Linked DNA regions of Callithrix jacchus. The protein of the gene in region 1 purifies or fractionates together with the protein of each later gene. This does not show direct contact. Links are inferred from orthologs where the notes say so. Each region holds a gene or a part of one and is shown on either strand. Other genes may lie near its edges. The genes, in order: DUSP9, PGRMC1 and MAPK11.

Region 1 (5,378 bases):
ACCCAACCAAAAGGTTAAGACCCCTGTAGATAAATGGGCAAAGAACCTGAAAACACTGCACACTGCAGGAAGGAGGGAATGCGGCGGCCTTACAAATATTTGGGGGAAGGTTCAAGCTCAGGCGTGGAAGGAAAGCAACTCCAAAAAACAAGTAACAATGACCAACGAGGTAACACTTTCCACCTTCTGTGCTAGAAATGTCCTCATGTTTGAGAACACCCAGTGCCGGCAAAATTGCTGTGAAATCAACGTGCTGTTCAACGGTTGCAGGGTATATATTGGCATAGCCCTTTTGGAAATTAATCTGGCAATATCAAGAGCTAGGAAAAAATCCCAACCCTTTGACCACTTTGGGGAATCTAAGGAACTAAAGTAAAAGAAATCAAAGTTACACACATTCTCTAAGGAGTGGAAAATGGAAAGCGCACTGCGAGTCCCACAGTGGGAATCATTACGGAGTCAGAGGAGCAAATGTCTGAGGTCACGGTTACGGAAGAGGGCAGGTGATGGAAAGCTGGGAGTGGGGTGGGTGAGTGTGAGGGGTGCCGTTCGAGGCCTAGATCTTCCCCACGGCCAGATGGAGATCTCTAAGGGGCTTCCAGTTTCCCCTCCCCCTCCCTTCTGGGCAGTGGGCTGCTAGCCGGGACTCCCAGGACCCTGGCACTGGGCTGCTGTCTGGCCACACCTCCATGTCCCTGTCTCTAAGATGAGTCCTAATTCCTGCATCCAGGGGCTTTGGGCAGCTGGACTGTGCCCTTCCTTCTCCTCTTGCCCAGTGGGCATGGGCCCCAGCCCAGGCCTCCCTCCTATGCCCCCTGCCCAGGTTCTGAGATTCTGCTTCTTTCTGTAGGTCCCCTCGTCCAGGCAGCCCTCCCAACTCGGAGCCAGTAGTCTCCCTCCTTTGTGCTCCCCAGTGTGGTCACTTTCCCCCTTTCTCAGTGTGTTCCTGGGGCAGGAACTTTGTCTTCTCCCTCCTCCTATCTCAGCCTAGTCCCACAGTGGTGGAGGTGTACACTGGTGCCCAGCCCGGGGGCTGCCTCCAGGCCCACTGCAGCTGTGGGTGGGAGCTCAGAGTGGCCAGGGGTTGAAGGCACCACCGAGGTTCTGCCATGTGCCAGTCTGGTTGTGGCTAGTAGGGGTGGCACAGGGCTGTGAGCAGCCGGGAGCTGGACAGCGGTGTTCCCCGCTCCTGTGCCTGGGGGCTCAGTCTGGCTGGAGAGGGAGCTCCTGAGGTGCTTAGGCCACTCTGGAGAGGGCTCCCTGGAGGTGAGAGGAGCTGGGCTAGGATGAGGATGAAGAGAGGCAGCCTCCGAAATGGTGAAGGGAGGGGAAGCCCGGGATCCAAGAGTCCCTGGCTCCCGACCGGGCGAGGGGCTCCCTGAACCTAACTGCGGAGCCGTGCTGGCAAGCCTTCCCATCCGGAGAAAGAATTTAGGAGGGGGCCATAAGGGGCTCATGAGGAGGCCATGAGGGGCTCAATCTCCAAAGTCAGAGCTGAGAGTTCAGGGCCCACAGCGCCCGCAGCGCCAGCAACAGGACAAACGGGAACCTGTTGCGGCCTCCGCACTGCAGGGCTGAGCGCAGCCAACCTCCTAACCCCCTCTAACGGCGACCCTCGCCTGACTGCCCCCACTCAGGCCCCCAGCAGCGCCAGCTCTGGGCGCCGCCGAGCCCCGCAGCCACTCCCGGGTGGGCCGTGCAGGGAGAGGCCGCGTCGCGCGCCCGGGCCTCTCCTGGCCCCCTCCGGCGGGCGGAGCCAGGCCGCGCGCTCGCTGCTCGTCGCAGGGTGGGCGCTGCGCCCGCCTACCCCGCCCCCGCCCCTGCCGGGCGCCCCGGGCCTCCGCCCGGCCGGGCCAGCGCCCCCTGGAGGCCGCGAGGAAGCCGCCGTCTGCAGGCCTCGCGCGTGCCGAGTGCGCCCTCTGGTCCCGGGGGCCTCCCGAGAGCGGCGCCGCGCCGCCTTCCCACCCCGAAATGCACCATTCCCGCCGGGCCGAGTGGCAGGATTTCGGCTGTCGCGGCCGGGTCACATGGCCAAGAGCACAAGTCCCAGAGACAGCGTGTCTGCCAAATCCAGTGTCTTTTCCATCAAATCCACTTTCTGCTGGGGATGGTCGGTCTCCTCGCGGGACTGGGAGTTCCTCCAAGGCAGGAACGTGTGTGTGCCCGGCCCCAAGCTGGCCCCAGCCCCCAGTGCAGGGCCTGGCACGCGCCCGGCGCTCGCGGAAGAAATGCTCGTTAACAAAGAAGGCATGAATGAATGAAACCAATTGTTGCCTGAGGGAGCTGCTCCTGCTTTTCCTTCTGCCGATTACACACTCCTCCCCCACCCCGACACGCATAAGCACACGTGCACATACAGCTCTCCCCGTAACACACACACAGGCCGGCACCCAGACAGCGCGCGCGGACTCCAGCCCGCATGGAACCCACCTACTACGGGCTGGTCGGGCAGCTGGCGCCCCTTTGGTCCCACCTGGGACGCCTCCATTTCAGCGGCGGGCGCTCTCTGCCTCCACCCCGCCCCTCCCCCCGGCCCCTTGCCTCCGCATCTAAGTACCCTACCTTGCACCCCAAGTGCCTTCTTTATCTCTTAGGGAAGAGGCCAAGTCAGTCGCTGGGGAGTCTCAAGGTCTGTTTAGGGAGGCACCTGGGGAGCCGAAGGCTGATGAGACGCTGCCGAAGGAGAGCCAGAGGTGCCTGGCAGGGATGCCACCAAATGCTGCAGCCTCTAGAGCCCGCGTGCCAGGTGTTGGGAGGGAGGGACTCAGAGATGTGCTGGGGGTGTCGAAGGCTATTTGTGATGGGGGCGGGGTAGGGTGCTGGAGAGCGTGAATCCAGCAGGTGTGCGCGCGTGCTGGGGCGGATGAGAGTGCGCGCTGGAGATGCTGGAGGTGTGTGCCTGGGACGTGGGGAGTATCGGCCGCTGGGATGTGGATTTGTGATGGGACCTCGCTCCCGGGTGGGTGGACTGCAGTGTCTCTGGGCTGGGCACCTGGGTGGGGTGTCTGTCATGGGATATGGGGAGTTCAAGGTGGCAAGAGCATGGTAGGGGGAGCTATGTTAGTGCAGGTATCGCAGAGATGTGTTGGAAGCGTGCGTGTGCGCCTGGGTGTGTACTGGGGCGTGGCAGGGTCTCGGTGGGTTGGCATGAGTTGGGGACAGTGGTGAGTAGTGGTACAGGGGATGCTAGTGTGTGCATTACAGGGACCCGGCTCTGTGATGCGTGGTTTGTGTGCGCGCGAGTGTGCAGCCGGTCTAAGTGGCAGTGGACACGGGAGGTGCACGGGAGGGGTGCACGGGTGTGCGGCGGCAGCACCCAATGGGTCTCCTAGGGGCGCGTGCGCCGGCTTCGTGGGGAGTGCCTTGTCAGGACTTTGGGGGTGTGGGGTGGAGGAGGGGGTGCACGTAGGGGGGGTCAGCCAGGCCGGGTGGGGTGGGGTGGGGGTCCCCAGGACGTCGTGTGCTCCACTCACCTCTGCTCCGCTCGGTTCTCTGAGCCTGTTCCCTGCGTCGCGGCCGGGAAGTTTCTGAAGCTCGGTCGGCGGGAAGCGCCACTGCTGCCGCCGAACGCCACCGGAACCCCGGGCGGCGGCCTTGCCAGGAGCTGAGGGGCAGCCGCCGGCGCTGCGGAGGGAAACTCCAAATCCCGCCCCCGCCGCCGCCGCCGCCGCCACCGCCTCCTCCGCCTCCGCCTCCTCCGCCTCCGCCACCGCCTCCTCCCCTCCCATCGCCGTCTTCTCCGCCCCCTGCCCAGGAGGGGCAATGTAGCTGGCGGCGCGCAGGGAGGGAGCGGGGAGGGGCCGCGGCCTTCCCGGCGTCTCCCTCCACCTCCCACGCCCCCGCCCGCCTTCCTCCCACCTGCAAGCTTCTGCCCTCTCCGCCCGTCCTGCACGACGCGCCCTGCGCTTCCCGGTCCCCAATGGTGCTACTGAGTGGGGACTTCGGAGCTTGGAGCGCCGGAGTGGGGTTGGGGGCCCTGAACTAGGCTGGGCCTGGGCTAGGGGGACGGTTGCTCCGCAGAATCTGCACTGGCACCCCAGCCAAGGGGCCCCCTGCAGTGTCTCCTCTTATTCTCATATGTCAGATTCTGGCTACTAGTAATAGCATTTGAGCCTCAGTGCCTGGAAGGGGTGGAGCCAGGATGTTGAGGGAGGGGCTGGGAGCAAGTAGGGAGCGGGTGTTGTCACCAGGTCCCGTTAGCTTTCTCCTTTGTACCACAGGTCACACCCATTGGCACCAAGGACCTCATTTTATCCTTACAGCAGTTCTGGAAGTCTGAGGAGATTGTCCCCATGTTACAGCCCGGGAAACTGAGGCCGTGGCTCCCTGGTGGTGGCACGATAGTGTAGTGGCAAAGTAGGATGGGGCTCGGGCTGGCTGAGTTCAGAAGCCTAGAGCCTGAACGAGCGTGAGTGCGGAAGATTGCATGGGGAGGGGAGGGGAGGCAGCCGTCCGAGGTGTGCACCTGGCCTTTCTGGGGCTCCCAGGCCAGCGGTGCATGAGCCTGGCCTCCTGCCTGCAGTGGAGGAGAGGTTGAGATCCAGCAGGAGGATATGAGCGCAGAATAAGGTGCGGCAGGGAGGGCTGGGGTGCCAGCAGCTCCACTGGCTGCCTGGCTGTGTCTGCGGCAGCGCTGAATTCCCCTGAGTCATTACCCCTGGAAGAGACAAGGGCAGCAGCTTTGCCTCTGGAGCCCAGTCCCTGCCCCATCTCTGGGTCTCCATTTCCTGGTCTGTACTTTTGGGGAGAGAGGTGGGATCATGTGATTTCCAAGGGCCCTCCTATCTGTGCAGTTTCAAGCCATGGTGAGTGAGCTGGGAGGGTCCTGCTGTTGCCAGCCAGGCCTGTCCGCCCTGCTCTGGGCCCGACTGCAGCAGAGTCCCTCCTGGAAGGAGGCCACTGGCCCTGCAACCCTGTCCCTGCTCTGGACTCTGGGCCTCGTGGGGCTGCACTGGGGCTCTCCCCTACAGCCTTGGGGGGCCAGGCTGCCCAGGACCTGCCACGAAGGCGAGCATATGCAGCCACCGCTGGTGCCTGTGCTGCTCGATGTGCTGAAGTTATGGGACCTTTCCTAAGAAATCCATATACCACAGAAGCTGTGCCCTAAAAACAGGGGGCTGGCTTTCACATTCCCCCCTCCACCGAGGGCGCCTCCTGTTTGGAGAGGACGTAGGACAGCTGTGCCCGTGGCCTGGGTGCTCAGCTGATCACCAAAGGCTTGGTGGGTGAGCTGACTCAGAGGAGTTTCTAGTAAGCTTGGGGTTGCCATGCTTTAGTGACTCAGGGCTGAGAGGCTGGGGAGAAACATTTGGATTGAATAATCCGCCCTCGTCTCTGCACAGCTCCCACTCCAGCCCTCCCAGTGTCTCTGCTCTCCA
Region 2 (5,597 bases), about 34 Mb from region 1:
TTATTTTCTTTTTCTTTTTGCTATTTCATGCTCCCACCAGCCTGATTCCCTTTCCCTAATTAGGACTCCACAATGATAATATTTGAATGGCCTTTTAATTAGTCATTTTATTTGAAGTCGGACATTTAGGTTATTTCCAGCTTTTCTGTATTAAAAATGAATCTCTGCTGAGCATCTTAGTAAAGAAATCTTTGTCTACATTTCTGCTTCCTTGGGATGGATTCCTAAAAATGGAATTACTGGGCCAAAGAACGGATTTCTAGAAGTGGAATTAATGAATAGAAAATATTTTTATGAATAATAAAAGGTTGTACCCAACAGCGTATGAGAGTCTCACCACTCTCTTGCCAATACTGTGTTATCCTTTTTTTCCCTTTTATCTTTCCTGCAGAAAAGTAGTAGGTGACAGTGGCATCTCCATGTTTTCTTTTTATTACAAATGAGACTGAACATTTTTCAAATGCTTATTCACCACTGGCATGCTCTCTTTTGTGAACTACCTGTTTCTATTTTTGCCCATTTATTGACTAGAATCTTGTAGATTTTCTCATCAATCCAAATGAACCCTCAAAGAAATATTAACCTTCTGTCATGTTAGTTGCAAATGAAAATATTTTTCATAAATGTATTAGCTTTCTAATTTTTTTGGCCATACATGTTAAGAGAGATAGATTCTAACTACAGCCAGGGGCCCTCAGTTTGAGCCTGTATCCCGTGATTAAATCGAAGGGTTTTGACAAAAGATCTGGAGGGGCTGTTTCAGCGAATCCCAAATTTAGCTCTGAGAAAAATGCGTGGGCCCGATACAAAGGTTGTTTGTTATCACTTTAAAATGATTTAAGAAGATGTGAGGGGCAGGGATGGAAGCAGTTTTTGCCAGAAATTTTTAGAATTCTGAGGTAAGAAGCCATTCTTTACTCAAGTGTCTTGCGTGTTGGGAGGAGGAGTAAATTATGTGCAAGCCAACAACGCTTGGTGGAAAAGTACTGCTCTGGGCGGCAGATGTGTGCAGGGCTTGGTTTTAATTATTTGTTTCCCTCTCTATCCTTTCTTCTGCTCCCCTCCCCCTGCCACCAGAAGAAGGGCCAAATTAGGACGAGGCAACCCCTTCCTACTTGGAGGCCAACTTCTGTGCAGCTTGTTAGCACATCAAAGGCCGGGTGAAGTACCTAGGAAAGGAAGGGACCAGGCCTAGGATCCTTACAAATTCCCGCCTTTGTCTGGGCTCCAGCTCAGGGTTATTGTGACTGTTAAAGGTAGACTGACAGAGTCCAAATAGAAGAACGCTGCCAAACAAAGAAACTTTGCACATTATTCTGAGGAGGAAAAAAAGAGCAACAAGAGAACGTTGCTTGCTGATGCCTGGTGACTGAGCAAATCAATAATTGCAAAAGGGTTTTTCGGACAACAAACACAAAGTTAACTGGGCGATCCGATTCGTTTTCGCAGATAATAGGGAGAGATTTGCACTGACTTTAGCTATGCCCGGGGAGTCGGTCCCACAGCTTCTGGGGGAGAATTGGGGAAGGGCCATCAAGGAGAGCGAACGGGGGTTTCCAAGGTGAAAATGAGTCATGTAGGGCTCTGAGATAGAAAATGGAGTTCCAAGAATGAGTTTCCTGTCTCCTAAGACAGCTTCCAGGGCCCGGGAACGGCCGGGGGAAGATGAGGGGCTGTGGAATGGAAGCAGGGAAAAGCCTGCAGCAAGAGAAATGGAGTCGGTGTCTGGAGCGCATCAGGTGGCAGAGGGGCGCTCGCACAGAGCCGGGCAAAGCAGAGGCTCTCCCAGCGGGTCGGTCTGCGAGGAGGAAAAAAGGGGTGCCGAGGAGGGCAGCGCGTACGTCGCGCTCAGCTAGAGGATGGCGGGAGAATGGCGTGAGGTTCGGCTGGGGCCTCCCAGGTAGAACTGAGGGAGCACCGCGCAGCCGCGGAGCAGCGGCGCCGGACTCCAGAGGCTTTGTGGGGGACCTGAGGGCGGCCCAGCGGAACCGAGAAGGGCGGGGCGCTTAGGTGGCCTCGGGGGGTGGGCGGGGCTTGGAGGCTCCGCCCCTCCGGCCCTGCCTCCTCCCGGCTAGTCTTAGGCGGCCGCCGAACCTCGCGCGCCACTCGCTCGCTCGGAGGGAGGAGAAAGCGGCGAGTTCCGGAGCCCTGCCTAGCCCGGCCCAACCTTTGCTCTAGAGATCATGGCTGCCGAGGATGTGGTAGCGACCGGCGCCGACCCGAGCGAGCTGGAGAACGGCGGGCTGCTGCACGAGATTTTCACGTCTCCGCTCAACCTCCTGCTGCTTGGCCTCTGCATTTTCCTGCTCTACAAGATCGTGCGCGGGGACCAGCCGGCGGCCAGCGGCGATAGCGACGACGACGAGCCGCCCCCGCTGCCCCGCCTTAAGCGGCGCGACTTCACCCCTGCCGAGCTGCGGCGCTTCGACGGCGTCCAGGACCCGCGCATACTGATGGCCATCAACGGCAAGGTGTTCGACGTGACCAAAGGCCGCAAGTTCTATGGGCCCGGTACGTCGGCCAGCTAGGGGGCCGCGGAGACAAAAGAAGGGGGCCCCCCGGCACGGGGCTGGGCGGGAGAGAGGCGAGGCGGGAGCGGGGCGCCCCTGAGCGGAGGGAGGAATGGCGGCGAGCTAGGGAAGCCGGGCAATCGGAGAGCTGGGAGGCTCCCGGGGCTGGCAGGGGGTAAGAGGCACTCCAGAGGGGCTGCGGGCCAGTCGGGGACGCAGATCCCCGGCCCGCGCTGACAGCGCTGGGAGGGGGTTGGAGAAAGAAGGCTGAGGCGCTTAAGCTGGGGGTGGGTGGGACCGCAAAGCTCGAAGGCGTTGTGGGGGGAGCACATCAAAGCCAAGGCTGTTGGGGGAGTTTCCGAAGGTGCTGGGCTTGAGGATTCCTGGAAGGAGGAGAGGGTAGTGTCGGGTTCTAGGAGGGGAAATAAAGGAGCGATGAGGAGAGGGCGAGAGTGAGAGAAGGTCCAGAGCTAGAGAAGACTGGAAGGCCAATGCCGCCGGGAGTAGATTCCGAATGTGAGTGTGTGAGAGAAACCGCAGAGATAGGATTAACCGCAGGTAAAAGCATTGTGCCTGGTGGATAGTGATGTGTGTGTGCACTCGCGAAGTGTGCATGCGCGGTGTGTGCGTGTTTAGTGTATGATTTATCAGGGGTGTGTGTATGGTGTGTGTGCACACGCACTTGAAATGTGTCATGCGTCAGGTATGTGTGTGGCATGTGTTTGGTATGTGTGCGCTTGTGCTGTGTGTGGGCAGATGGGGAAACGCTGGAAGGTGAACAAGGAGGAAGGGGACTGTTTGAGAGAGGAATAAAGGCTGAACGTGGTGGGCAATGGTAACATGGCAAGCTTTTAAGGTAGTATGGTATTTAGTCTATAGGAGGAGAGAAAGGATTAGAAGCCCCCCCCAAAAAAAAATTAAAATGGAGGGAGGGAGAAGTGGGAGGATACCGAGAAACAAAAGGAGTAGAGCTATGAAGACTGCTGGGTGGGGGGAATCAGGAAAAGCCAACCAGAGGGAAATGAAGAATGGATAACTGCTGCACTGCTGAGCTGTCGGAGGAGGCAGGCCTGATGGGTTCCTTAGAGGTGAGGTTTTTGCAAACCTGGTTGCGTATCACAATCACCTGATGCATCTGAGGAAAAATGCAGATTCCCAGTATAACTGCAGATGAGTTAGACATGCAGATGAGTCTCAGGATGGTCCGGGAGTCTGCATTTTAATATGCTTCCCCAGGTAAATTTGAAAGGCAGCCAGGCTTGCAAAGTCCTGCTTTATAGAATACTTGGAGAGGAGGAAGAAGAGGTTTTTGATCCTCCAATATGGACTCTAAAGACAGGGAGTGTAGAGGGTGTCCATATCAACGGTGCTCATTCCCCACTGGCCTGAGAGAGGGAAGAGTACAGAAGGCAGTACACAGGTGAAACTCGGGCATTCATGTTAATCTCCCAGTCCAACTGATCAAAATAAGATGTGTTAAGGGTAAGGAACTCACTCATTTAGTTTTTCTCTTGCAGATATTTTATTTATTTTTTTAGAGACAAATTTATTTTTTAGAGATGGGGTCTTGCTGCTGTGTTGCCCAGGCTGGTCTCAAACTCCTGGGCTCAAGCGATCCTTCCACCTTCAACTCCCAAAGTGCTGCAATTACAGGCATGAGCCACCACACTGGGCCTGTGGATATTTTAGAATACCTGCTTTCTGTAGGCATGTAACTGTCAGAATAATTTGAAAACCAAACCACACATATGATTTGTCACTTAGAGTAGCACACATAGATGCTTTATCAATAAACATAATCATGTAAGTACCTGTTAATATTAAACACAACCGTAAGGCAGTGAAAACATGTACATGAGGCATCTTCATGACTGTAGTTTGCAGAGTCATTGAGAGGAATGTCAGCCTGCACAAAGAGCACAAAACTAGGAGTCAGGGAACCTGCATTCTAGTCCTGATTGGGTCGTTACTAGTTGTGTGACGTTGTCTAAAGCATTGTTCTCTCTGAGCCTTAGTTTTCTCTCTGAAAAGTAATAAAGATCGCCTATTGTGAGATCTCTGTCTCTATCTTGCACTGTCATTCAGTGAGCCCATGACTACGTGACATCATGGTAGGAAGTGATGCTTCATGTTGTAAAGGATTCCTAAAAATCAGTCATTCTAGTGCCTGTTAACTGTGCAAGATACTGTTGTAGATATGGGAATATAGCAGTGAGCAAAACAGATACAAATTTCTGCTTGCATCCTAGTGAATATACATTGAGCTGAATAATATGTATTTTTTAAAGACTTTTAATGTTCCCACTAGACCTTGTTTAAATATTCTGTGAGGTTTGCTTGGTAAAGACTCACTCTACCAAGCCAATGACCATAATTTCTGAAATGGTGAGCTTCAAACCATTACGTTTGCTATTCTCAAGTACTAGGTGCTGCCATTTCCACTAGAGGTATACATTTAAGAAAAATGTGGGAATTTTTTTATCTTTTCTAGTGGATATGGCAGCATGTAATGATGATTAAAAATAAGCATTTTTCTTTGGAATTTTAATTGTATTTAAAAGTCATAAAATTTACTTAATTTGTAAAAATTTCGGAGTGTATTGAGGTTTCAGGTGACCAGGCCATATTGAAACTTGACCTATTCTCATATTTGGCACAGTGTTTACCTACAAACTTTTAAATGTCAGGGCTGCTATTCAATCTGCCTTGGGGGAAATAACACATTGTTTAAAGTACACTGGATTCTCTTCATGTAGTTGTGCAATATTTAAATAAGTCTAAATATCCACTTTGTGTACCTACGGAATGATTTTCTGCTCTCTTAGACAAAAGTTCAGTATAATATCATAAATCATAGCATTCTGAGTTTTATAGAGTTATTTTGCAGTATTGATTCAGCCTCTTTTCCATGAAGATTTTAGTATTTTCACAGTCTTCTCAAGCCTACCAAAAACAGATCATGAAGACTGATCTCTGTGTTATCTCTTATTTATTGACAGTGAAGGTTATGTAATGTGGATAGATTTTTGAACCACTGATACTCTTATAAAATGATTCTCTGCAGATGCCATGAGTTAATGTTTAATT
Region 3 (5,371 bases), on another chromosome or scaffold:
GGCCGCCGCCCACGGACCCCTCCCGGCGCCGCCTCATTCGCCCGCCTTCCAGTTCGGCCTACGACGCGCGGCTGCGCCAGAAGGTGGCGGTGAAGAAGCTGTCGCGCCCCTTCCAGTCGCTGATCCACGCGCGCAGGACGTACCGGGAGCTGCGGCTGCTCAAGCACCTGAAGCACGAGAACGTGAGCCGGGGGCGGGCTGTGGGGAGGGCGCGTCCGGGGCGGGGCCGCGGCGCAGCCAATGGGCGGGTGAGCCCGGGCCGTGGGGGCGGGGAAGGGGCGGGACCCGGGGTGCTGAACGGCGGCCGGGGGTTCGCCGCCGGGTTCTGATCCCTGTCCCCCGCGCCACCCAGGTCATTGGGCTTCTGGATGTCTTCACGCCGGCCACGTCCATCGAGGACTTCACCGAAGTGTGAGCGCCGGGGCGAGGCAGCGCCCTGGGGAGCGCGTTCGCGGAGGGGCGGTGGGGCCCTGTCCTGACGGCCCCCCTCCGCAGGTACTTGGTGACCACCCTGATGGGCGCCGACCTGAACAACATCGTCAAGTGCCAGGCGCTGAGCGACGAGCACGTTCAGTTCCTGGTTTACCAGCTGCTGCGCGGGCTGAAGGTGGGGCGCCCTGGGCTTTGCGGGTTTCCAACGCGCGGGGCGGGCGTGCTGGGCCCAGCGCTGACCGCGACCCCCCTCCCGCAGTACATCCACTCGGCCGGGATCATCCACCGGGTAGGTGCGGCCGCAGGGTGAGGGTTGGGTCTGGCAGGGCTCTGCCCCGGCCTCCTGCCCTCACGCTCACGCTCGTAGTGACCTGCAGGACCTGAAGCCCAGCAACGTGGCTGTGAACGAGGACTGTGAGCTCAGGGTGAGGCCTGTGGGCAGGGGTGGGCAGGGTGGCGGCGGAGCCTGTTCGGGGCTTGAAAACACCTTGTGGTCGCCCCAGATCCTGGACTTCGGGTTGGCCCGCCAGGCAGACGAAGAGATGACGGGCTACGTGGCCACGCGCTGGTACCGGGCCCCTGAAATCATGCTCAACTGGATGCATTACAACCAGACAGGTGCAGGGGGAAGGCCTGGCCGGGACGGAGGCCAAAGGCCCTGGCCCTGCATGCTCACTCTTGGTGGGCAGGCAAGGTCCCCAAAAATGTGAGACCCACATTCAAAAGCAGCCCTTCAGAGGCTGCTAGAACATGATGGGTGCTGGACCCTTCTGGCCCCGCAGCTGTCGCCTCCCCCTGCCCAGGGCTGCATGTGGCAGAGGAGGGGGTCTACCTGTCTTGGGGTCTGGATGTGACTTCGGGTCTCCTGGAGGAGGGATGTGGGGTGGGCACACTGACGGAGGCCCCCCGCCCTCACACAGTGGACATCTGGTCTGTGGGCTGCATCATGGCTGAGCTACTCCAGGGCAAGGCCCTCTTCCCGGGAAGCGACTGTATCCTTGGCTCAGGTTGGGGAGCAGGGTCAAACGGGGCCCCTCCTGTAGGGTAGGGGCTGGTGCTGGCCCCTTCTGGTGGGTCTTGCCTCCTCTGCCCTCCCGCATGCCATGCTACCTTGGGGTGGCCATCCTCAGCTATAGGAGAGCGGGCTCTGGGCAGTGCCCCAAATCTTGGGTCTGAGGGCCTAGGAGAGGTCCGCGGCTGGCCGCTGGGTGTTTCCTGAGTGATGCAGACATTGACCAGCTGAAGCGCATCATGGAAGTGGTGGGCACACCCAGCCCGGAGGTTCTGGCAAAGATCTCCTCGGAACACGTGAGTAGGTGCCCGCCAGCCAGCAGCTCCCTCTGCTGGTTGAGCCCCCAGGCTCTCTGGGGGAGAGGGTAGTATTGAAATGCAGGGACAATGTGGGGAACATGGGACGTGGTGGGATAGAGCCCAGGGCAGGTGCCCAATCCCTGCAGGGGGAACAGGAGAACAGCAAAGACATTCCTGACACCAGGGACGGTGGGTGCTAAGCCATGATCCCAGCAAGCAGTGCCTGGCCATGGCAGTGGGGGTGGGCTGGGGGCAAGGAGTGACCAGCTCCTGCAGGCATCAGGGGCTAAGTGAGGAGCTAGAGCCACCAGCTCTACGCAGAGGGGTTCACTGGTCTGCCTATGCCCTTGTCCTGGCCCGTTGGAGTGAATGAGTGTAGTGGCTTGCTGAGAGAAGCCCCAGTTTGGGGCCAGGGAGGCAGAGAGTGAGCAGCCTCCCCAGGTGGTGTTGTTTGCTCCCAGGCCCGGACATACATCCAGTCCTTACCCCCCATGCCCCAGAAGGACCTGAGCAGCATCTTCCACGGAGCCAACCCCCTGGGTGAGGACTGCCCTGGGGCTAGACTGGGCTCCATATCTGGTCCTGGATGTAGAGCTGACCCCCACCCCCAATGGCTCTCCTGCAGCCATAGACCTCCTAGGAAGGATGCTGGTGCTGGATAGTGACCAGAGGGTCAGTGCGGCAGAGGCGCTGGCCCACGCCTACTTCAGCCAGTACCATGACCCTGAGGATGAGCCAGAGGCCGAGCCGTACGACGAGAGTGTTGAGGCCAAGGAGCGCACCGTGGAGGAGTGGAAGGGTGGGCATGGCAGTGGCTGGGGTTGGGTCCAGGGGCCTTCGGGCTGCCTTACCCCAGAGGCAGGAAGTTCCCAGAGGAACTCCAGTTCCTCTCCAGACTGGTCAGGGGCAGAAGGGCATGCAGGTGTCCGCACAGGCTGCGGGGTGGCACAGGGCAGGTTCTGGCTCCCAGACTCTGTGCTGAGGCTGCTGTCATAGTGTGGTGGGCCTGGGCCGGGTGGCAGGTGCCAGATAAGCAGGTGGGAGGCTGGGCTGTGGGAGGCACAAGCTTACCCTTTCCCTTCACCTCCTAGAGCTCACCTACCAGGAAGTCCTCAGCTTCAAGCCCCCAGAGCCACCGAAGCCGCCTGGCAGCCTGGAGATTGAGCAGTGAGGTGCTGCCCGGTAGCCTCTGACAGCCTGTGGAGGGGCCTGGGCCTGCACCTTTCCACAGTTGATCTGGTTTCCTCAAGAGGCGCCTCCCATACTCCTATGGTCACTGACTCCTGGTCTAGGACCCCTTGCCTTCAGGAGAATCCACACACGTATGCATGCACAAACATGTTGTACATGTGCTTGCCATGTGTAGGAGTCTGGGCACAAGTGTCCCTAGGCCTACCTTGGTCCTCCTGCCCCCTCCTGGCCACTGCACTCTCCACTGGGACCTGACTGTGGGGTCCTGGATGCCAAAGGACTTCCCCTGGGGAGTTCCCCTGTCTGTCCTAGGCCGACCCATGGGGAGTGTCAGCCAAGGGATCTCTTCTGTCTCAGGGCTCTGGAGGGCGCACTGGGGCCGGGAACCCCGGAGACTGAAAGGGAGAGGTCTCAGTCACTACAGATGCTCAGCCTAGAAGTAGGGGACTGCCCTGGTCACTGCTGAGACCCACAGGTCTTGAGAGGCAGAGCCAGTGTGCCACCAGGCTGGGCAGTGACAACCATCACGTATCAAATAAGAAAAGCTGCCTGGAGCCTTGTGTTCACCCATGGGTGTGGGCACGCGTGGATGGGCATGCACTCCCTGTGTTCATGGCAGGGCACATGTGGTGCATGTGAATCCGTGAGCACCCAAGGGACAGCAGCCATGTCTGGCAAGAACCCTGAGCTGGGGCGGGTGTGCTGCTGCCTTCCCTCCCCCCAGTTCCTGATGCTTGAGGGATGTTGGGATTCAGACTAGAGGCTCCAGTGAACCACGTGAGCACAGTAGGGGCTTTTTCCTCGGACGTGGGAGCTATAGCAGGTTCCTGAGGCTGGAGGTGGGCGTTGGTTCAGCCTTGAGGACTCTAAGGCAGGCCGAACACGTAGATGTGGACTTGGATTCCGACACTCCTGTCCCAGCACCCTGGCCCACTCTCTACCTCTGCCCACCGTGTGGCCCTGCAGCCAGAGATCGGAGGTGCTCTGGTCTGCGGGTTAGTCATCCTCTTTCCTTGTCCCAGGATGGAGCTGATCCAATAACCCTGGAAGATGGGACCCTGCTCAGAGCTGAGTTGGGAGTGTGGCTTTGCCCTGGAAAGGCGGTGACCTCTTGCCTTGAGGGGCCCAGGAAAGCCTGGGTGTCAAGTGCCTGCACCAGGGGTGCACAATAAAGGGGGTTCTCTCTTGCTCGGCTCATATCCAAAGGCCACTACAGGCCCTGCTGCTGGGGGTGGGGGAAGTGTCTGGGTCACCCTTCATCACTTGTCTCCAGCTGGCCAGATCCCTCAGTCTCTCAGTCAGACAAGCAGCCATCTTCTGGCACCCTCCCTGCTCCCCGGAGGGTCTGAGAGCCCAGGGGGACCAAGAGAAGACATGGCTGATGGGTGGGCTCTGTGCATAGGGTGTGACAGCCACCCAGATGGTGACCCCAGCTGCCCTATGGGGATGTACTGGGCAGGCTTGGCTTCTGGCCAAGATCCAGACCCCACCCCCCACAGTGGTCAGGGAGGCTGGCTGGGGAGTAGTTGGGTGTCTCAGGGAGTAAGGGTCTGCCCATCCCTGGTGGGGTGGGGCTGGGCAGGGTAAGGAAAATAGCTTTCCTTTCCTTTCTGTTGAAGATTAAAGAGCCCACTTTAATCTGAGGGATGTATGCGATAGTCCCATTCCCACTATACACGGTAGTTTACTGTGGGGGAGGGTCCAGGCCATGCTGGGTCAGGCAGCATCTCTGGGGGCCAGGGACAGCCTGTGCCCCTTGCCTGGGTCTTGGATGGGGGGTGGAAATCATCTGGGAGTTGGGGGCCTCCTGGGGCCTAGTCAGTGTAGTGTTCAGTCCTGGGGAAGTCCAGTGTTGGGGTGTGGGGGAGCAGAATGGGGACACAGCCCCACCTCAGATGCCTGGTCTGTGTGGGGCCTGCTGGACCCCTGAGCCCCACCATGAGGAGTGAGGGGGACAGCAGTGGAAGCAGGGCTTCCTGGAAGACGTGGATGGAGTGCCACAGGCAGCCCAGGGCACAAAGGTTGCAGGCCACAGCCAGTTGTGGTTTGGGTAGCCCCGGGCTACCCCGGCTCACTGGTCACCAGCTGGTGAATGCCGCAGACAGCCGGAAGCCCAGGTGTAAAGCTACTCCCACCCTTGAGCGGCTGAGCTGCTGATTCATGGCAGGAGGGCGGGCGGGGGGCCCTAGGGAACTTGTTACCCACCAACCCAGTGGGTTCCAGGGGTGCACCCCCCATCCTTCCTGAGACCCAGATCACTGGGCTGGGGAAGGGGTGTCAGGGTGGGGCTTTTCACTCTGAAGCATCTGGTCCAGGATGGAGCCAGACCGATGGGAGGATGATGCCCACACGGAGGGGACAGGCTGAGGGCCCAGCAGGTCCTCGTCCCTGTAGGAGAGAGTGCAGCCATGAGCTTTGCAGGACGGAACAGGCAGGG

Evidence for each region.
Region 2: the proteins of DUSP9 (region 1) and PGRMC1 purify together in Homo sapiens (affinity purification with mass spectrometry; 3 studies listed by BioGRID). This does not show direct contact. The link is inferred for Callithrix jacchus from reciprocal best matches to the Homo sapiens genes DUSP9 and PGRMC1.
Region 3: the proteins of DUSP9 (region 1) and MAPK11 purify together in Homo sapiens (affinity purification with mass spectrometry; 4 studies listed by BioGRID and IntAct, with this or other methods). This does not show direct contact. The link is inferred for Callithrix jacchus from reciprocal best matches to the Homo sapiens genes DUSP9 and MAPK11.

Annotation. Positions count from the first base shown.
Region 1 is NC_133524.1:149,567,042-149,572,419, reverse strand, and holds the start of DUSP9 (dual specificity protein phosphatase 9), read right to left. Parts: upstream 3,649-5,378; 5' UTR 3,474-3,648; intron 2,767-3,473; exon of another isoform or gene 2,563-2,766; intron 1-2,562. UniProt on the Homo sapiens protein: Inactivates MAP kinases. Has a specificity for the ERK family.
Region 2 is NC_133524.1:115,129,850-115,135,446, forward strand, and holds the start of PGRMC1 (membrane-associated progesterone receptor component 1), read left to right. Parts: upstream 1-2,073; 5' UTR 2,074-2,183; coding exon 2,184-2,511; intron 2,512-5,597. UniProt on the Homo sapiens protein: Component of a progesterone-binding protein complex. Binds progesterone. Has many reported cellular functions (heme homeostasis, interaction with CYPs). Required for the maintenance of uterine histoarchitecture and normal female reproductive lifespan.
Region 3 is NC_133502.1:218,841,946-218,847,316, reverse strand, and holds the end of MAPK11 (mitogen-activated protein kinase 11), read left to right. Parts: intron 1-52; coding exon 53-182; intron 183-352; coding exon 353-411; intron 412-495; coding exon 496-607; intron 608-691; coding exon 692-721; intron 722-809; coding exon 810-857; intron 858-935; coding exon 936-1,050; intron 1,051-1,352; coding exon 1,353-1,424; intron 1,425-1,660; coding exon 1,661-1,740; intron 1,741-2,204; coding exon 2,205-2,283; intron 2,284-2,368; coding exon 2,369-2,542; intron 2,543-2,834; coding exon 2,835-2,914; 3' UTR 2,915-4,121; downstream 4,122-5,371. UniProt on the Homo sapiens protein: Serine/threonine kinase which acts as an essential component of the MAP kinase signal transduction pathway.